Oryzias latipes: one gene and its partner. The protein of the gene in region 2 binds, or shares a complex with, the protein of the main gene of each other region. Links are inferred from orthologs where the notes say so. Each region holds a gene or a part of one and is shown on either strand. Other genes may lie near its edges.

What was found.
Region 1: ttc25 (region 2) and efcab1 share a complex: the UniProt entries of both Homo sapiens proteins name them as parts of the outer dynein arm-docking complex. The link is inferred for Oryzias latipes from reciprocal best matches to the Homo sapiens genes ODAD4 and CLXN.

Annotation. Positions count from the first base shown.
Region 1 is NC_019869.2:21,761,319-21,772,071, forward strand, and holds efcab1 (EF-hand calcium-binding domain-containing protein 1), read right to left. Parts: upstream 5,277-10,753; 5' UTR 4,970-5,276; coding exon 4,903-4,969; intron 4,807-4,902; coding exon 4,648-4,806; intron 4,553-4,647; coding exon 4,448-4,552; intron 4,336-4,447; coding exon 4,163-4,335; intron 4,039-4,162; coding exon 3,934-4,038; intron 3,862-3,933; coding exon 3,811-3,861; 3' UTR 3,661-3,810; coding exon of another isoform or gene 3,598-3,660; 3' UTR 3,513-3,597; downstream 1-3,512. Other genes in the region: pex1 (peroxisome biogenesis factor 1), read right to left, coding at 51-165, 427-510, 610-756, 1,396-1,503; rbm48 (RNA-binding protein 48), read left to right, coding at 1,713-1,874, 2,336-2,526, 2,609-2,754, 2,971-3,506, 3,598-3,660; sytl1 (synaptotagmin-like protein 1), read right to left, coding at 5,830-5,840, 7,146-7,351, 7,714-7,813, 7,882-7,960, 8,276-8,437, 8,621-8,723, 8,802-8,968, 9,087-9,200 and 3 more. UniProt on the Homo sapiens protein: Component of the outer dynein arm-docking complex (ODA-DC) that mediates outer dynein arms (ODA) binding onto the doublet microtubule. Seems to regulate the assembly of both ODAs and their axonemal docking complex onto ciliary microtubules.
Region 2 is NC_019866.2:5,982,368-5,993,360, forward strand, and holds ttc25 (tetratricopeptide repeat protein 25), read right to left. Parts: upstream 6,190-10,993; 5' UTR 6,097-6,189; coding exon 5,974-6,096; intron 5,888-5,973; coding exon 5,756-5,887; intron 5,689-5,755; coding exon 5,535-5,688; intron 5,448-5,534; coding exon 5,386-5,447; intron 4,457-5,385; coding exon 4,306-4,456; intron 4,209-4,305; coding exon 3,719-4,208; intron 3,640-3,718; coding exon 3,553-3,639; intron 3,478-3,552; coding exon 3,281-3,477; intron 3,200-3,280; coding exon 3,099-3,199; intron 3,026-3,098; coding exon 2,990-3,025; 3' UTR 2,262-2,989; downstream 1-2,261. Other genes in the region: dnajc7 (dnaJ homolog subfamily C member 7), read right to left, coding at 7,471-7,508, 7,615-7,677, 7,765-7,917, 8,004-8,150, 8,336-8,409, 8,563-8,654, 8,823-8,987, 9,135-9,288 and 3 more. UniProt on the Homo sapiens protein: Component of the outer dynein arm-docking complex (ODA-DC) that mediates outer dynein arms (ODA) binding onto the doublet microtubule. Plays an essential role for the assembly of ODA-DC and for the docking of ODA in ciliary axoneme.

The DNA of each region.
Region 1 (10,753 bases), on a different chromosome or scaffold from region 2:
TGACTGTTTGACTAACAGACAAACATTTTGAGTTGGATAACAGCACAAACCTATCTTTATGTAGATGACTGTGTGACTGTCCACCCAGACGGGAAACACGGCATCTAGGAAAACCACTCGGATCTGATTCAGCAGTTGCTCTTCAAGTGCAGAACTGTGAAGCTCCTGGAGATGTCAAAACAGAAAATGAAACTGCTTAGCCACAAATGTTGTTTAAGCTCCCCAAACCAATAAGCAACATCATGATTGAGCAGTTCTGCACTGAAAATGCAAAAAGAAAGAAAGAAGGGAAAGCTAAAATGACTAACTTTTATTTTGATAATTAGAAATGAGTTTTAGAAGTTGATTATGTTCTCAGGAGATTGATTTCATGATAATGTATAACTGCAATTAGACAAATTACACAAAAGTCAATATTTCACTCACCAAAATCTCCCAGTCATCAGATGACAGTGGCTCCACAAACACCTGATTCAGCGAAGAGACTTGATGGCATGGTCTGAGAAAACACTGTGAAAACCACTCAATGTCAGACCAATGTTAAGAGACTGTTGCACAGGCAGTGTTCGTCCCAGTTGATGACCTAAAGGAAGAAACCAAGGTCTTTACCTGTTCTCCATCAGTCAAACCGAGCTTTTCTCCAAGCTGCCGAGACAACTCCACTCTGTGGCTGTCTGCTCCTAAGGAGGCTCTGATGGGACACCAGCTAAGGAACACTGTCGACCCGCCGTCCCAAGACAGCTCCAAAGCCTGATTCTAAAACGGACCGGCCAAAGAGAGACGATGAAATAAGACACAGAATGGTCTCTTAAAGCGGATGTCGAAATTATGATTCCAACTTTATGAATGTTAGATACTTGTGATACCTTTATTAGTTTTTATTCTTGTACATTTTGTATCATTACATACATTTCAGATTTTATGCTCAGCAGAAGAATTAAATTAAAAAATTGCAAAAATATTCCACAGGTGTGGTAGCAAAATATAGAAATATTGAGATGATCACATTAGTTATTATAATAATCAACCTTTTCTAAATTAAACTATTTCTAGGAGTTAATGTGTTAAAAATCAAAACAATGCAGTTTCCTTTAGACTAAAGACCCCTGAATGAGGACAGTATTTGATGCCCAATTTCTATTTTTACCAACAATTCATTTTTTGTTGCCTTGCATTACTTCCTAATACTAATTAAGTACACGTGATAATAAAAAAATGCTCTGCTTTTGTTATAAGTTTTAATTAAGAAAAACTAAAACCTTAAATGCAACCAAAGGTCCCCTTGTAATGTCAGAGAAACAAACCAGCAATGTGTAAAACACAAAAGCAGTCATTATTCAGTAAACTTTATGCAACAAAACTGAAGCGATGTTAAGTAATTAGCTAATACTTTACCTCATTCAGAGAAAGGTGCGATATCAGCTTTGAAGAGAGTTGAATAAAGCAGTTTTTAGTGTTGTTAAAAACAACACATACTGGTTGAATTCCCTGGTTGCTAAACATGACGTTTACATCGCTATTTTAGCATTTAAAGTGCTTAACATGCTGGTGCGCTAACGGCCAAAGTGCAACAAACATTTCGATGAATGAGAGAACTGATCCAGACAAAACAGTCGATTGTCGATGGAATCGATCATTTCAAAATAAGACTGCCACGTCGTCAACACTACACGTTGAGTGCTCTGCACAACGGAATGAACTCTTGTTTTGAAATGCCACCAAAGCGGAAACGCGTTTCAGCAAACATGGCGGCAAATGTCAACAGTAAACCTGGTTGTTGGAAGGTCCCAGAAGTCTACAAACATCACGAACAACACAACGCATGTTTTTCTAGACCCAAATATAGAGATGGAAGGAGAGCTAAAGCAGTCAAGGTAAGAAAAACGTTTCTAATGTTTGTAGCAAAGACGGTCTGTGTTGACGCAAGCGACGAGCTAATAATTATGTGTAAGTTGGTTTTATTTTTACATTTAAGAATGTAAGAGAAAATTTTAAAATCTTTTTTTTTAACTGGAAGAAAAAAGTATAAATTGTAGTCACACAGCAAGTGATAAATAAAAGACCAACGGCAGGTCTTAAAAAAACAAATAAAACTGTCGTTTTGGCAAAAATAAATAAATAAAATTAAATAAAAGACATGGTAAAAAGTTTGAGTCATTTCGAAAAAATTGTAATTAATAAACCATAAAAATCAAATTTCTAATACAGTAGACTGGATTTCTGAGTTGCAGGAAAGTACATCAGATCTGATGATTATGTCTTTAAGTTAATTGATTTTTATTGGTCACGTCAACAGCCTCACATATACTAATAACCATGCCTTTGTATCTGCCAGGTCTACACAATAAATTTAGAGTCCCGTTATGTGATGATCCAGGGAGTCCCCGCTATTGGAGTGATGGAGGAGCTGATCCAGTTGTGTGCTCTTTATGGAACAGTGGAGGAATACAGACCGCTGGACGAGTATCCTGCTGAGGAGTTCACAGAAGTCTACCTGGTCAAGTTTCAAAAACTGACAAGTGCTAGGTATGGCGGGCACCTTAACTGTACTGCCCTAAACCAGAAATGCTGAAAAATATGTCATTCAGGTTGATATTTGATGTTCCAGAGCGGCGAAACGTAACATGGATGAGAAGAGTTTCTATGGCGGCGTGCTGCATGTGTGTTACGTCCCGGAGTACGAGTCTGTGGAAGACACCAAGTTAAAGCTGCAGGACAGGAGAAGTTATGTTCTGAAAGTGGCTCGGAGTAGAGGTATTATCGCATTTTGACGATATACGGTGTTGAAAAGCACTGAATCTTTTTTTTCTTAGGTAATTGTTTTTTAAAAGTTCAATGAAAAAAAACTGTGATTAAAAAATTTTTTTTGTGTATTTTTATCTGAAATCAAATGTTTTTTGTTGTTTTGTAAGTTTAAAGTATAGATAAAGAATTTGATGAGTGTCATTTATCTGTTTCATGTTTATACAGCAAAAGAAAGAGTAGCGGATGCGGTACACATGGAATCTACGTCTTCAGAAAGCGTTCCCACATCAAGCAGAGTTTTTGCTACAAATAATCCAATCTTCAATAGTGACAAAACAGGCGAGACTTCAAGCTTCAGCCATTGTTCCGGATTTCCTCTACTGCCTTTACCCCCGCAGGAATACTTTCATCAGGATTATCGTGGGAACGAACCAACAGAAGATCAAATGGGGACTTTACATGACGCAGTGCCTCCTGACGTAAAACAGCAGAAAGTCCAGAACTTTAGCTCTTTCAGTAAAGACCCTAATTCCGAAAAAAAATTGGCCTCCAACCCAGATTCTTCCGTCAAGCTTGTTCCAAGAACTGCACATTTGGAAAAGAACAAACGCCGCAAAATGGAGGAGGCCACAAAACAGCCAGTGCCTGATTCTGGAGAACCGTCTTTGATTGGACCAAAACTACCAGAACCACATAAGCTGGACATGAATGATCAGTCGCTAAACACAACAGTAAATCTGATCAGGGGCACAATGAAGCAGGTAGTCTTTTATTTTTTTTTTAATGAGAATTAGAGCTTGACATGATGCCATATTGGTGCATTTCAGTCTCATTCTTTTCATTCATTCCTAGGTGACATCGGTCCCAGACCTCAAACCAGCGGAGAAGAAGGTTAAGCCACGCCGTCGGATATGATCCATTCTGTTTTAGTGACGACTGTCCATATTTATCAAAACTAACGTTGAAAGGCTCAACTTAAAATAAAATTGTACTTTAAGAAAAACATTTTGGCTTTTTCTTTCATGAAAGTCTCAAAGTTGAACACCGCTTGCACTTCATATTTTATTATTCATCTTGCTGCTTTTCCAGTACTTGCTGCTCAAACTTCTTCTTTGTCTAAAAAGAAAGATTTAAGTTAAATAGATCCTTACAATATTTTTAAGCTCAGCAACTTTTGGTTGTGATTACCCTGAAATTGGGCAGGCAGCTTCCAAAGGCTTCAAGGAGTAGCTCCTCCTTTTTTACAGACTTCTCAAAATCTTGAAAAGACAGCCTGCCGTCTTTGTCGTGGTCCTGTGGAATCACAGGAAGCAATGTTGGCATGTTACCAAAATAAATCTGCACACATCAAGACAAAATTCTTACAATCAACATCGATCCAAATGTGACAAAGGCAGATGGGAGGGCAACATCTCACCATTTTTTTGAGGACAATTTCCATCAGTTCGTTGATCTCATCCTGTTCATCTTGATAGTCGTCTTCTCTGCCTTCCTCTTCAAGCCGCAGATGGAAACTGTCCTTCAGCAAGAGAAAAATGTCGTCTCTCGTGATAAATCCGCTGCCTTTCAAGTCATACATATGAAAGCAGTCTGCAGGGGGGGAGAAAAGACAGGCCTTATGGGCTAAATATGTGTGCATTCCCTCATTTGTGTGAGAAGTAGTGCTTAAGAAGCAGGAAGGAACATGCTGTGGGGAACTTGCATTTCTTCTGTTCATCCAGAGTGCCCCAAAAATGAACAGACAGTCCCTGGATCCATTCTTCCACAGTGACAAATCCATCATTGTCCTTGTCAAATATCCTGAAGACTGAGAAGGTTTGATAAATTGCAGACACTTTTCCAATAGTAGGACAGATGTAGCAAACTTTACAATGTAATACTTAGGCTTGTGACTAATAGTACCTCTATCCATGATGAAGTCGTCGGTCATCTCGAACAGGTTGTGTAGAACCACTTTGAACTGGTTTCTGTCCAGACCCGAAACCGAACCATCAGAATGTTTCTGCGCCTCCAGAAGTGCATTGAACTTCCAGATAAGACATTCCACCTCTTTTTTATTAACTTGAAATGAAAAAGCTCATTTAAACATCATGTTCTGACTGTTTGAATGGTCACACGAATAATTAAAAGTTTAAATGTTTTTAAAATTATACTCACAGTGTTCCACTTTTTTGGAGATTGTTTCCGCGAGGGCCTGTATCGCTTTTTTACTGGCTGATGACATTTTTAACCAACTTGCATGAAATGGAGAACCGTTTTATCTGCTTCACCATGACAACACGTATAAACGTCTGACGTCAACACGTCGAACCGTTACGTTCAAGAGGAGGAAATTAGATTACACATGTTTTAGTAAAGCACAAACAAAAAACAAAACCATGTAGTTTATACAGTGTCGTTGTTACGAAACTCCCTATCTCTGTCTGTTTAGTAGAATTTCTGTCACGAAGCCACAACAAGGTACTTTATTTTGAAGGAAAGTCGTTTCCTGTTGTGACACTGCCCTCTGCTGGATGAACACAAAATATAGGAAAACGTGTTATTTCCCTGGATGGTGTGTTTATCTGAGGGATATTTCACATTACATAGTATAGAAATGCATTTCTTTTGAAAAAATAGTTTAAAGTCCCCCTTAAGAAAGTTGAACTGATTAATATTTTGCTTTTTCACGTAGTCGAGGTCAATACATCAAAACACTGTATCACCAGTTAGGTTTAATGACAAACTGATAAATTACAATACATCATAAGATCTTTTATGGCAGAATAAACACACTGAGCAAAAAAAAATTAAAAAGTTCCAACAAAGTATCTATCTAATCTCAAAAATTCAAATTTTAAGACGCTTTTAGTGTCAGAAATGATAAATAAGAATGTAATGTGCAACAGATATGAATAAATGAGAGGTTCTTTTTCCAGTCCAAAGATTTATAAACTCCAACAAATGTGCAAGTCACACAGAGCGCTGTGTGAGGTTAGCTCTGATTGTTAGTGTCGAGTCGATCCAGTGGTTTGGATTTTCAATCATGGCGGTCCAAACTGCAATTTCCTCTTCTGTTGAGTCCATCCAGCTGACTGGCTCCCCTTAGCTTTGTCCTAGCAATTCAAATTGAGCCACTGTTTAAAAAGATATATCTTAAAATCAAATAAAAACTTTTATTTTATCATAGAAACAACCAAAAGTGTTCAGCAGTAAAATATTTAGGACAAAAATCAGCATTAAGATTTAATGAAACACTTTATTCAAGAGATGAATTTAGAGCAAAGATAAAATTGTTTGTTGAAAAATTTTATGTGGTTCTTTTTCTAATATTTTTTGTAATCTTCATCAAACAAACATGTCTCTCAATTTAATGGTAATCAGAATTTTTCCCTAATCTTTATTGTTGAATAACTGATGTTCGTATACTCAGTCAGAACTCAGCATTATGGAGAACAGAGTCTGAAAATTCTGTTATTTTCCAGGAATTTTTCCGTTTTTTTTAAGAAGGTTAAAGTTCAGAACACTTAATAGAGGCATTAGCATTTCACCCTCTTCAAGCTGCTCCCTTTCAGGGGTCAACACAGTGAATCTGCATCCACCTGATCTTTTCCTCAACATCCTTCTCTCTCACATCAACCACCCTCATGCACCCCCTTCACTACCTCAGTCAGTTTCCTCTTTGGCTTCTTTCCTGGCAGCTCCAACCTCAGTATCCTTTTACCATTGTGTTTATCTCCATAACCTTTGCAGTAGCATAGCTCCTAAGTAACCAGAAAAGGCTTCGGATGAACAGATAAATTGTTTCATTTTCAAAACCTCAAAATGGCTGCAATATTGTACTGCAGCTGCCTAAAGAATAATAAATGGATATGAAACATTTTGAGATAGCTCCAAATGTAAAATACTCCCACGCCCAGTAGATTTTGAGGTGTGAACCACAGTAAAACTATAAGCAAAACAATTTAACTGTCAATGCTGCTAAACAAAAATACACTGCTAATTATGCATGCTACAACTTACACACATTAAATAAAAGCTGCTTTTGTAAATCGTAAAAAGACAGGAATCCACAAAGAAACACTTTTTCACAACATAACTCTGTGACATGACCTCCCTCTTGCAACAAGGCTATCTAAATTGCTGAAATGCCACTGTGTAGCTCCAGCACCCCACTGCAGAACAAACACTAAACTGTTTATGAATGGCGATAAATCTGATAATAGAGGAAGGCCCGCTACACCCTTGTTTGTAGACCACCAGAAGACAAACACGAGATGTTGTATTAAGTAGTTTCAGGGTTTAAAATGAGCAACAAATGTAGACTCGGTTCCCTGTTATGTTTAGTGCAATTTCTTGTTAATAAGCGTAAGAGCAGCTTCTCTTAGTTACATAACGCTGCGTCTGGAGTGGATTCTCACCAGTTCCGTAGCTCAGACGAATCCCCCCCAGCATGTGCATCTTTAGCCCTTCGCGCTGCCACACGGTGAGTTCGGCACAGGCCTCCACAAGGTCGCTGGGCTGGAATCCGTCGTAGACCATTGTGTGGTTGTAAACAGGACTGATGCTGCGCTTCACCGCCCGCGTCTTCTGACCGCTCTGTCGACTAGCGTCTGGGAGAATGTAACTTGTGGGTGGAGAGGTAAAACAAACAAAACAAAGAAGTGATTTCCACGGTTTTACTTTTTTATTCTTTATATTAATTTTCACAAAAAAATACAGATAGTATCAAAAGCTTTCATTGGATTTCTGTTGTTACTTCACTAATTAAAGATCATCACTTGATATTTCTCGATTTAGCCAAAATGTCTCAAACCTTTTAATGCGATTTCACAAATATATATAAAACATTTCAAATTAATTGGATAAAAAAAGTTTCTAAGTTTAAACACAGGACTAAAAAAGGATACTCATAAAGGAAGGATCTCTCAGAGTATTTAAATAGTCTTGGCAAAAAAAGTGAGGAAAGGTGCAGCGGAGGTGACACACCTTCTAACGAAGGAGTCAATCGGGCCTCCTTTGTGGGACACCAAACCCTGAGCCTCCCGAAGCCAAATGTGAACCTCCCCGGTCAGAGGCAGACCCCCACCTGAACACACACACCCGGTGAACAGTGAACAGTCGTGTGGCGTTGGGTAAAACGTACTTTCTGCTCACCTTCAAATCCATCTGGAACAAATTTAATCGAGAACAAGATTTTCCCTCTGCTGCTAACACAGTCTGGGTTCAGGTATATCTGTGCAAACGGGAGAAGTTTGTGACAAAGAGAAGGAAGTGGAGACAGACTCGAGAGCTGGAGATTAATGCTGCGTTTAAAAAAACCCAAAAAGCTTAGTTAAAATTCACAGCGTGTCTTTGCTTCTCCTCAGCCCCCCCACACACTCCTCCCCGCCTCGTCTCTAACAAAGCTGTCAAAACGACAGCTGCAGAACAAATGAAGATGGAGGCTTCACAGTCGCTTGGTAATTATACCCGAAGGAGGTTTCGCACATGCAATAGAGGACCTGACTGAGTATGAGTTTACGTCAATGCCAGTCATCAGGGTGCTCACCCGTGGCTGCAGGTCCTGCCACAGTGGCTGTGTGCAGGTCCAGTCCCAGAGCCCCAGAGCCACCTCCACCTCTCCAAGAAAGATATTCCTCCCCAGGGGCTCGGCATGCCACACAGAGAGGTTTAAAGTTCGACTCTGCAGCTCCCCTGCACGCACTTTATACTTGAAGAGTGCAGAAAAAGAAAGACTCCAATGACCTTGAGTTATGAGACATAAAAGGTGAATAGTAGCTGTGTTGTTTTTTTTTCAATATGCATGACTAATCACTGCGATGACAGCCACAGAGCTGAAAGATAAACGACAAATGCTAATGTTTTATGCAACATGCAAACGGGATGCTCTCACTCTGAGGGTCTGGTCATAGACTGGGTTCAGTGTCTTCTTCTTCACCGAAGTCTTCTTCTTACTGTGATGGGACTTGTCTGGCAGGAGATAAGTCTTTACGTATCTGTGAAATGAACAAGCACCATTTTCACGGAGTGGATCTGAGGGACGCTGCCAGTTTCACGCACACCCTTTCACTCACGGATCAGAGCGGTTCCTGCGCGCCGAGGCGATGTCCTCGCAGCAGTACACCTTCACTTGGAGCTCCTCCTTGTGATCGTCGTAAACCAATGAGTACTGGATGCGGCCCCTCACCTCCACCACCCCGAAATCCCCCGAGCTGAACAGACTCATCATGCTCCCACTGAGCTGTAACACAAACAGCAAAGATCAGCTCCTGCGTCAGTGTCCAGAGCTGAGTCATCTTGCGTCGCCAGACAGTGGATTTGACAAATGTGTGTGCGTGCATGCGCGTTCGTGTGTGTACCGTGTAGCTCGACTGAAGGCTGTTGGTGGAGCTCTTGGTATTCAGGGAGGATGGATCTTGTTCTGTCAGGCTGATGCTCAGAGAGTTTGGGTCCCTGTTGTGACTCAAATCTTCCTGCACTCAAACAAACACACAACTGTACTCACATATGTTCACTCAGAAAAAGCCATTTAATTGAACAAACATATGTAGTCATTTGAGAAATGATAAGATGTACTTTTATTTTTTTCTTTATTTTAAATTGTATGCGTATTATGAATTAATAAAGCACAATGATTCAGAATACTAATTATACAAAACCATAAACAATCTCTCAATTTATATATTTATCAATAAATATATTGTATGCACTTCGTGGCTTTTGGGGAGAAGCAGCTGCTTTAACTGATTCTGCAGAGGTATTTATGTGGTTTAGTGTTTGCTTTCTATTATTTTCTTTTTTCTGGTCCAGCAGATGCTCTCCAATAAACTGATAAAGGTCAGTTGGAGTTAGCCTGAGGTCCAAAGAAAATATTTGGAGTCCCAATCTGCACTTTAGATACACAAATCAATGTTTTTAGTCATGCACATTTCTTTTTGAACTTTAATAAACACTGGATTCATAACACATTAAAATGTGAACAACGTCATAAATTGTAGAAGATTTTTGGCAGCTTTTCTGAGAAACAAAGATAAAATTACAAAGGTAAAAGTAATATCTCCATAATATCACACTCATTTGGACAAAATTTCCAAAAAATTTGACTTGATCTGCAGCTACTCTTGCAGAATCAGAAAACAGTTTCAGATCGCTCCCCTTGCATTTGGAAAAAAACAACGCTCGTGTTTTAATCAGCGTTCTTGCTAATTACAAGTGAGCCTTTGGAGAGCACACCATCAGTTCAACAATGCAGCTTTAGAAAAAGGGAGCTTGCATTTTTCTTTGGGCTTCAGCTCCTTTCAGTGCTGCTTGCAGCTTCATTTTTTTCACCCACCTCTGCAGAAGATGCATAAAGATTTAGATTTCCTTCTTGATCATTTTGGCTGCAAAACCAAATCTGTTTTCAACCTTCTTCTAGGAAGAAAATGTTCCTAAGATATGATTTTATATCTCTTTCCCTCATTGATGTATTTTTTTTTCTAGACAGATTGTTTACGGAGTTCCTCAAACTTTAAGGTTTGGTTATTTCTATCCAGTGAGCTGGGTACATCTGATGAACATGAAACTGAAGCATAATAATGTAACGCATTGAGCGAAAACAGGTTTGAATGAATCCTCCTCTTGCATAATGTCAAATATTTGGTTAGAGCTTGTGGCCCAAGGGTGGCACTCAGAGTAGATGTTTGCCAAACCATTAGTTAAGATCCTGTGTGTGTGTGTGTGTGTGGGGGGGGGGGGGTGTTGGTCTGTGCGTGCGTCGTGATCACCTCGTATTTCCCTGGGTGGCCATTACTTCTCCTTTCATATCCTATTGGCACAGCTACATGTTTATTATGTAAAAAGAGTCGCAAGCAAAGATATCAGGAAAGACACGTTCATACCTTTGGAGTGTGAGGTATTAATACTGCTGTTCTCCTGTAGTTGAAGATCATTGATTGGTGTATTAAGATGGTTGAGTACACTTGAAAGGATGGGAAACAAACACAAGATTTTTCACACACACCTGCATGCCAGGAATTTGATGTCT
Region 2 (10,993 bases):
TTAGTACAACCTAAACAAATTGAAATCAAATTTAACTTAAAAATATTAGTTAATAATAAAATAATATTTTAAACATTTGTTTTAAAGCGAATATTTTGGCTAATTTATGTTGGTTTGGTGCGGTGGGGAGTGGCGTGCACATTTAGCACGCGAGACAAAAACGATTTCTCCCCGCCAGGCGGACGCTCAGTCCTCTCTGCAACATCACAAAAAAAACACGCGAATAGTCTGGTTAACTTTAGTTAGCGTGGGAGAAATTAGTTAAACTGTTACCGTAACGAGCTAGCATCAACTGGACGTGCGCACGTGCTGTAGTAGCCTAGCATGTGAAAGGTTTTCTGAAACGCCGCTTACCAGTTGAGTAGCAGTGAAGCTGGAGGTGCTGCTGTGCTGACCACGTTATTGTCCCTCTGAATACAATGACAACGCGGCGCTGGCCGCAGACACGTTACTCTGACGAGGGAGGGGGGATTCAAATAAGAAAAAAAAAGGAAAACTCCCGGGAACGCGCAAGTGGGCAGGGCCAGGCACGCCCCTGCCAACCGGAAGTGGGCGGCACAGGAATATAAAATATTGTAAATAGTCATTTCTAATAAAAATACTAATAAATTAATAAAACATTTCATCTAATTTTTGAGACAAACTTGTTGTGGCTTTTGTTCAGGTCAAAGAAATTAACAGAAATGTGTATTTCCTTAGAATTTTACACGTTTACAGAAAGTTTATGTTTTTTAATGCATTTCATTGTCTGTTAATCCTGGGTTTTTTTAAATCAAAAAATTTCTTCAAATTGGTAAAGGAGTTATGGGTGTTCTTCATACAAATGTTCACAATGACACGAGAAAACACAGAAAAAGATTTCATCTCCTTCTGTTGAAACATCAGATTTTACTGCAGGGGTGTCCAAATATGTGAGGGCCAGCCAGTCAGCCTGCATTGTTAAACCCATTTGATAAAAAAAAAAAAAGAAAAAATACAAATGAACCATTTGATGAAACCATTTTGAAAGGGAATACTTTGTATAACACAAATATTTTCAAATACATCGTTTATCTAATTTACAATAAATTTCATATTTGAAGACCAGAACTGAAGTAATGAAAAAGTCTGTCTAAAAAAAAAAATCCACCATAAATGTGGTTCATATGAAATGCTACATATTAATATAAACTTATACATTGAAGTCGTGGAAACAGGAAAACGACACAAATCTGTATCTTCTTCAGAAGTAAAACCTCTGTGGTTTTGGTCACAGAAACCAATACATTTGTTTTTTTGGATCTGGCCATTAAGGCTCTGAAGGACAAGTAGCCACAGGCTGTTGTCACAGGTAAACTAGTGTAAAATGTAATTTAGCAAATCCATTTCAAGCAGCTTGTAGCTGGTACAATTTTGAACATGAGCTGCATTTAGCCCATGGGCCAGACTTTGGACATGCCTGTTTCAGGCTAACCCAATCATCTAAGATCTATACAAGAAAAACTGTTATTTGGGTGCAATAAAGATCTGTGATGTATTATTTATCGATTGCATGTCAACACTTAACCGGAGCCAAAAAGAATAAGAATTCAAAGCATTGGCGACCTACTACTGTATCTTTGATTGTGGATGCATTATTTCAATAATGATTTAAATAGGTAAAGCAGCCAAATGTTGCCTCACTTGAAATCCATTAGAGCCAACTGACTGTTAAATTCTTTTGAAAAATAGAGACTAAAAATCGTTCTCTAAAGAAAGGCCCTATATGCATAAATACATTTAATCACTAATGATTTTAGAACTCTATTTATAGAACGATAATTTACTTATCCAATTTTGGTGAAGCAGCTTCCCAACAGCTCATGCAAATGTTTAGATGTTACTTCTTCTATCAACCAGAATAATAACTGCAGCATCAGCAAGTCAAGAATTTTTTGAGGGTGTGGAAAAATGCTCAAATCAAAAATAGTGGTAGTTTCTGCTATTTTTTTTTTTTTTAAAAAAAGGTTCATGTTAAAAATAAACAAGCGCTGGTTCACAGGAAACTCAACACATGAAAATAAGCTCTGGTAAAGCACACCTGCTTTCATTGTTCCAAAATAATCTTCGCACACAACATACAAACAAGTGATTTGCACACTTACAGAGAATGTGAACCTGTTTTTAACCCTTGTGCATTGACATGTTCTCCCTACCATGACAAAGGTGGATAAAGGTGGAAAGATTTTATGTAATCCATGGACACCAGTGAAGATCCCAAATCATTGAAGAAAAAAGGTTCAGAGCACTGTCTAGTGGGTCTAGATGACCCAACTCCCAACGTTAAAGTGCCTAGGATAGCACAGGGGTTAAGTCAGAGGAATGAAAGAGAATGTTGAATTTTGAGATATGTACATTTCCAACAAAATAAATGTCCAGTGACACTTTGAGCATGACTTAATGGCAGTCAGATGCATGTAAATCTGTACATATCAGATCACAAATAACAGACAACCCACTGCAAGTGTCTCCTTCTCAAACTGTAATGGATTACATAAGAGTATATTGAAAGTAGCAGAAATGTTGTGACTTAAAAACTGTTTATTTATAACTTGTGAAAGTGGCCACTGAGCATAAAAGGTTGCACGCCTTTTTTTCTAAAATTACTACAGAGACAATATTGTGGCACAAATCTTTGCAAAATTCCAAAAGACAAGAAAAAAGTGAATTTTTGAGTCCTTTACGTAAACATTATTTCCACATCAGTTACCACTGAAGACTTGAGTTATAACTAAGATTTTAGTTTGCAGAATAAACTAAATAACAAAGACCAACTCTCAAGTTACATGTTTTTGTAGCATTTTTCTGATAATTGAGGATATTAATAATAAAAATTATATTTCTAAGTATTTCTTTATTCAAATCTTAGTGAATCAGGAGCAGACAGAAAATTTTGACATTTTGAAAAAGATTGTAGAAGCTACAATGTTGATGACGGTCATTTCTTTGCATTGTACCACTGAAGAAGTCTTCACTTTCTGATGTGTTGCTTTGCTTCTTCAAGAGCCTGCAATCACAAACTTTAGAGTTAGAATTTTTTAAAAAGTAAATAACTGAAATCAAGTAAAAGCAGAGGGAACCTTTTGGATGGCATTCAGGGCAGAGTCATCATCTTGAAGTCTGGCATGAACTAAAGCCGTTTCAAAATGGGACACTGACGATTTGAAATTTCCAAGCCTCACTTTAAAGAGAAAAAAAGTAAACTATAGTCAAACATAAAGTATTTACAATGTAATAATTCCAAAAGATGAAGATCCTTTACATTCTGACTGTGCCATCAGAACACTGGCGTTCATCTTCCACTTTACATCTGGGATCTCAGCTGCCTCGGCAACAGAAAGGATGGCGTATTCTTTGGCTTCTTCATAGCGATGAAGCTGCAAGTAAAAACAGCCGATCTCATGCAACAACCAGACTTTCTCCAAACCACTGGGGACCAAAGGAATCCTCTTCTTCCATCTGAATGTTGAATGGAAATAACCATAAATATTCAGTCTTATTTCACAAAATAGTTTTTTTTTTTTTTTTACTTACAGCTCAATTGCTTCTGCAAAGTTTCCACTTTGAGCATATGTTTGCCCTAAGTTATCTAGAGCCCTGGATTTTGCTTCTGGAAGTTTGCTGTTGGTAAAAAAAAAAAAAGATTTTTTTTTGTTGTCTGTTAAAAACAGTTCCATCTATTTTTGTGGACTTTCCTCACCATTGCTCTGCCAAATCAAGCTCCTTTTGATGATGCTCCAAGGCCTTGTCCAGTTCTCCTTGGTAAAGCAAAGCGTTTCCAATAGAGCTGTGCAAACTGCCCAGAAGCAGCTTTTTATGGGGAAACTCTGTCTTTGACCGCCTCTCTACAAACTTCAGGACTCCTTTCGCCTTCTTGAGGCTATTTTCTGCATTTCCAGATTCCAGCGCTAAAATCCAAAAGAAAAAGTATATTTTTTCCTCTAAAATGACCAACAGGAAATATTGTTGACCGGATGTACCTGCATCTATTTCTCGGAGGGTCTTCAGCGGGAACTCCTTAAACTTAGAAGTCGTGGAATGCTTAACCTCCTGATGCTGAGGCTTCTTTTCTTGGGGGGCGACTATATTTTCTTGGTTACAGATCTCTATATAGGTCTCAATTGAAACGAGGCTGTCCTGAATTATGTCTTGTACTTGTTCTCCACTCTTTGTCTTTTCCTTCATCAAATCTGCAGATCATTGAATTGAAAAAAACCCCCCAAAGGATTAACAAGAGAACTTTGTCTTGTGTGAAACTGAAGTGCAGGGACTTGATCCGCACAGTACCTTCATCTTTCATCAGGTCTTCAAGAAACTTTTTATGGTCGACAAAATCCCCCATCAGATGTTTGGTTGCCTTCTCGATCCTGAAGGACTTTGGAGCCTCATTTTTCTCCTCTTCCATCAGATTCTCAACGACACTGATTGGCCGTAACCTCTTAACAAGTTACAACAGCATAAAGGAAGAGTGTCATTAACATGACATGCAGCAAGATGCAACTCCTTTTCAGAAAATAAAACAAACAAACATACTAATATAGTCATCTTCTTTTTTGGAGTCGTCAGCTTTAAAGAAAACAGCATAAAAAAGCAGGTGGTTTTTGTGCTGTTGATTTGATAAGAAAAAAAAAATGTCATTGTGCAAAAAGTAGTATAATCAAAAGTACTACTTAGTCTTTACTAAAAGTGAGGCAGTATACTGGAAGTTTATTTATACTTTCTATAAACATAAATATACTAACTTAAAATGTTCCAATTTAGTCTAAAGAAATATAAAGGAGCTGCAACTTGCAGTTTCGGTTTTGTTTAACTTTTTATTTATTTAAGTTTTTCCATGTATGTTTATGTGTCAAATAACTGAGTAAAATGGTGGAAAAAGGTTTAGTTTTACTTTCAGAGTGATTCATTATTTTTTAATGTTTACAGTTTTTATATTGTGTTAAATCGGATTCTGCACCATTGTGTGATGTTTATAACTGATAGTAAAAGGAGAGTAAAAGATGACGGTGCATCAAAGTCAAAGTGTAAAGTTAAATTACACATTTAATTACAGTAAATCTGCTGCAGCAGGAGGATCTTATTTGGCACAGGATGCCACAGGATTTATTTTGACAGGAAATTGCATGTGCTGCTGTCAAAACTAAAATAAGTTAAAGTGCAAATAAATGGCCACCAAAGCATAAAGTGTATTTTCTAAAATGTGTAGTGGTACTCGGTGGCTCTCTGGGGTTTGGTCCATGAGAAATAGGCCCAAATGGCTCTTTTAGCGTTAAAGGTTGCAGACCCCCGATCTGTAGTATAATTGTTATACTTGTACTTCATAAAATACACCTCAAGTGTACAAATTTTTCAATCTTTAAAACTCACCGCCTCCTCATTCTCAAGAAATGACAAGTCTCCTCCAACCTTCAGTTTGACATTGGTGGAATCTGCAGGAAAAAAAAAGATTAAAGTGCAATTTATGTTAAAAAAAATTATTTTATATTAGGAAAAGTTTTTTTGAAGTTCCTTATTACCACCAACTGCGTTTTTAATGGCCTCCTGAGCTTTCTTGATACCCAGCGTGAAGCACTGCATCTGCGTGCGAATGCTTTGTCCTCTGTGGTAAAACACCAACGAAAATTCAAATTCTCCCATGTAGAACAGAACTTTAGCTTTTTGGTAGACCCCCTGAAAAAATAAATAAAAAGTAAAGCTCCACTCGGCCTTCAGGTGGGACCTTTGCATCGGCGGTTACCTCAGGAAAGGACTTGTCATGTTTGAGGGACAGCTCAGCATCCCTCAGGGCGTTCTGGAGTTGACCCGTGTTTAGATAACAGTTGGACCGTCCGATCAAGCATTCCTTATCCTCTGGTTTTAAATCTAATATCTATAGTTTGTTAAAAAAACAAAACAAAAAAAGAAGTTAAAGAGCATTTTTTTAAAGGTGAAACAAGACAAAAGTTCCAAACCCACCGCAGTGAAGCTGCTTTGGGCTCTTCTGTATTCCCGCTTGTGCAGCAGCTGCTTTCCAGCAGACACCAAAGTTGAAAAACTCTGTGGCCTTTTCTGTTGGAGGTCTTCTCGAGTCTCCGACATGTTTTCTCCCCCAAGATGTAGGCAACATGTGTCCCTTGGTATCCTAGCAACTGCACCAACAAAGCAAAGGGGTGCCCTCTTGTGTTCAATGTGTGCAACAATAAACGATACTGCGATGAAGACAGGACAAGCAGAACAAGAGGAAGAAATGATGCAGGGGAAACCCGGAGAAGGCCAACTTTATTGACACAGCTGGTTTTATTCACAGGTGAGGATTTGGTTGTTTCACCAGAGAGGGCAAAACCTAAGTAAAGATAAGGACACTCTTCATTTCTTCAACAAGAGGTAATATTTTATGGTTACAGTAACCACTGGGCCAAAATTTCAGAGACAGCAGCTTAAAAAAAAAACCTCACATTATTGAACCACTTTGTCAAATCCCATTGATGGCATCATCACAGTCAGGCAGCATCACCCACTTTAGCACAACTGTGTTGCTTTGTTTTCAAGCAGAAATAAATGGCGTTTTTGAAGCTTCTTATGCAGCAGAGGAGTGCGTGTATCCGATGCCTTTTGTTGATCAGAAATCAAAATGACAATAAATATACATAAGAAAATAAAAAATAAAAAGTGAAAAAAAGAAAGGATTACCTGACATTACAACTCAACACTTTACATTCCAGCAACATGTACATTGCAGCAATTAGTGAATGGCAACAAAGAAAAAACTAGTGGAGGACTTTGCTGGCATCAACGCTGGCGCAGATGTTTCCATCGTCATAGTGTGTAGTGGCTGTGCTTTTTGTGTGTGTGTGTGTGTGTGTGTGGGGGGGGGGGGGGGGGTCCTAGAGGTCCAGCTGTTCTCTGAATTCAAACAGAATCCAGCGATCCTATAGGCTATAGAGGCAGTTCTCATTCAAATTCAAAGCCCCCACTGGATGTGTGACAGACGCCTACAAGATCCATGATTTCTTTTTCAGAAAGCATCGATCAAGTGTCTACCTTTCACGCGCAGAACACTCTGCAAAATAAAAGCTTTCTAAATTTGCAGTCACATCTCAAAGAGTTTCCCTAAGATGGCACTTTTGAACGGATCTGTAAAAGCTGGGATAAAATAGCTGCAGGACCTCTCCTTCATCATAGAAATCCAGAGGTGAGGTTTGGGCCAGTGCTTTCTAGCCACCACTGATTTTCCAAGTGGTTCTGGAACGGGGAACGCTGAATCCGAAACCAGCAACGCTCATAACCCACTGATGCCGTTGCTGGAACGGGCTATAAATCAATGGCTGCATGTGGTCGCTGGGTTGCATTCAGCGGATGGCATAGACGGGAATCTGGAGAGCAGTCAGTAAGTCAAAACCGATGTGGAGCTGATGGGTCGACACTGCCGAAAAGTCCTGATTCAGTAAAGATATAGGTTGACGTGTTCTCCAATTAACCAAACTGGAAGAAGAAATTTCCAGGTCCAGATGCTGCACAGGAACAAAACAAAAAGAATCCATTTCAGATTCTAAAATATACCCACATAGCAGAAATACTGATAGTGTTTTTTTATTTCATAAACAAGATAGAAATTACCTTCAAAACTAAAACCTCCTGGGCCTCCAAAAAAAGCCTTGAAAATGTTGTTAGCGTCAAAATCTGGAAGAGACAGAACAGAAGAACGATTCGTGAGACTCACTCCTCTGCTGCATAAGAAGCTTCCCAGAGTCCACCGCCGACACTGACCTCCCATGTTCATGCCGTCATCCTCAAGATCCTGCCCGCTGTCGTAGCGAGATTTCTTCTTAGGGTCGGAAAGCACGCTGAAAGCCTCCCCCACTTCTTTAAACTTTTTCTCCTCTTCCTTTTGCAGCTCTGGGCTGGCTCCGCTGTGGCGATCTAAAAGGGAGAAAAAAGGAAACAGCGTTTCGTTTCGTAATCAAGTTCCACCGGGGCTAATTCTAAGGCCGGGAGAAATCAACAACCTGGGTGGTGTAACAGCGCCCGTTTGCGGTAGGCTTTTTTGATCTCATCCTCTGTGGCGTTCTTTTCCACGCCGAGTATTTTGTAGTAATCTTTCCGCTTGCTCTTCTTCAACTCCAGCTGAGCAGTTTTCAAAAGATGCTTGTGTTCTAAAGAGAAAAAAGAAAGACAAAAAAAGACAAATTATTTCTTTTGTGGCTACATTTAGCCAAGAGCTTCCAGGGACAAACACTGACAGGTTTTAGGTTTTACCACGTACAAGCATAAATTTGGGAAGGATGCTGTTATATCACTTCTACAGACACACTCCTCACTGTGAACAAAGCACTCTCACCTTTTGTCTTTTCTGTCTGGTAAACCTTCTCGTAGTCTCTCACTGCCTCTTCATACAGCTCTGTGTCCATGTAGCTGCAACACATTTGGTTCATAGTCTTTTACTAACAAATATCAAACACGAACAAAAGAACAATAACTGACATTTTTCTATCGCCTGATAGGGTCCAAAATCTGCTTGGAACATAACTGTAAGCCTGTAGAAAGCATCATTTTCATTGAACATACCACTGTGCTCTCCTTAAATAGGCCTTGATGTAGGTCTCATCCAGTTTGATGGCCTTTGTGCAGTCTTCAATGGCCTGATCTAGTTTCTTCAGCTTGGAAGGGAAGAAAAACAGTGGAAATTAGAACAAGAAAAGGGTAGATATGGAAGAAAATGAAGTCTTACTGATGTGAAAGAGGAAAACATCCACCAAGCATCCAAAAATCTTCTTGTTCTCTTGCTGAAAGTTTAAAATCTTGAAGATGTAGGTCATGTTACTCACCTTAGATCCCACAGTGGCTCTGTTACAGTACAGCTTTGCGTTAGTCTTGATGTTGTTGGGGTCTATTGTTAATGCCTCAGAGTAAAGCTCATAGGCTGCTTCAAAGTTTCCATCTTTAAACGCCTTGTTCCCTTCCTCCTTCTTGGCTTTTAGTGCTTTGGCATCCTGGGAATGAAAGAGAAAAAAGGAAACCAAATCTATAGAGTGCTTAAAGCTAATGTAGAAGTAAACTCATCTAAAACATGCTTTCTTATGCCTCACATTGACATTTTAAGATAGTAGTTTGTGAAAACTCTTGTTTGATTTACTAACTCTGCATGCTAGGCGAGCTTTATCGTGATCGGGAGCCATGCGCAGGGCCTGGACGAAGAACTGGACGGCTTTATCGATGCAGTCCTCATAGTACAGGCAAAGGCCACGCACATACAGAGCGTCTGCATTCGTGGAGTCCATTCGCAGAATGTCACTGATTTAAAAGAGGGGGGGGGGGGGGGGGAATACAAGAAATTTTATTTCTGTTTAACATAAACTGATGGTTTTATGACCACACGTCTTACCTGGCCACTGACTGGGCCTCTGGGTATCGTCCCAGCAGGGCTAAACACTCGGCTTTCAGTATCTTGAACTTGTGACAAGCTGGGGCTGACTCTAAGGCACGATCCATGCAAAAGACAACCTTAAGAGAACACAAACACTCAGTTTGTAGCATTGCGGTAATCACTGTGTCAGACGAAAGGAAAACAAATAGGACAGAAAATGATCGGGGGGGCTCACCATTCTGAAGTCTCTTTTCTCAAAACCAATTTCTGCCATTCTCTCATACTCCAGAATGGATTCAGCATTCTTCACCTGCCAAAGGAAAGGCTGGTATTCAGTGACAATGCTTAGAACCTAACAGTAGGTATGCAACTGCCCTGTGCTCTTGCCTTAACCAGTTCTTCCAGATCATGCTAGGACTGCACAGAGATAATCTGCTGCCATTTCATTGAGAATTCAGCTCAACTCGACGCCTTCTAATGCTGTCTGTCGTGTATTTGCAGGTTCTGAGTCAAAGCTTCTCTCACCTCCTGCTGGGCCTGACCGTTTTCCAGCTCCAGCTCTAAAACCTTCTGGAAACAACGTCGGGCAGCCATCGCATTGCCCAGGGACAGGTGGCATTTGCCCTCCCGCAGATGCCCCTGTATGAAAAGGATCAGAGATTATCACTTCTAAAATAGCTTAGAGAATATAAGACAAACAATACCTCTTTTTTAAACGTATGAGAACAAGACTTTATAAAGTTCTGCACGTGTAGCATTCCAACAAACAACTGATCTAGTTTACAGATGCTGCATCAAATCCAACAACTAAAAAGTAAGACTCTAAAGCGGAGAGCAGCAAAGTCCCGTCTTGGAGGATCCGTTTCCTCACCGCTATGTCAGACCCTTCTGCTCTAATCATTGATTACCTGGATCAAACGTGTTTAGCCTGCAAAGGTTTGATTTGTAGCAAATGTTACTCAGTGGCCTTTGGGTAGAGTGTCCGCCTTGAGACTGGAAAGTTGTGAGTTGAAATTTCCAGCCGAGTCATCCCAAAGACTTAAAAATGGGACCCAAAGTCTCACTGCTTGACACTCAGAATTAAGGGCTCAATAGTGGGGGTTAAACCCCCAAACAATTCCAGAGTGTGTCTGCAGCTCACCGCTCCCCCAGGGGATGGTGGGCAGGTCTTTTTGGAATCCTGGGGTTCTAGTAGACCGACCTAGCTTAGGGATTTTAAAGCAAATGCGAGTAGTCTTTGGATTTCTATTCATATTAACATTTATTATAGTTCATATTCACAGTGTAATGCGGAGAACTAATGGGACTTGAACTTTAGAACTCTGGCCACACAGAACTGCAGCCTTACTTTGTGTTAAAGATTCCCAACGGAGCAACCAAGATCTTCCAAGAACCAAGAACATTCACCTTGACAGAATCCAAAAATAGTTACCAGATGGTCAAACATGTACAAATTTCAGGGACAAGAAAAAAACTTTTTTTCTCGAAACAGATAAAGATGATTAAAAATGCGTGTCCAAAAAGATTCTCCCTCCATAGTACTTCATCAACAAATGTGAGGCATTTTTTATACATCTGTAATAGCAAAATCTCTATGTTCTTGTAAATCTGGAAATGTGTAAAATCTACAGA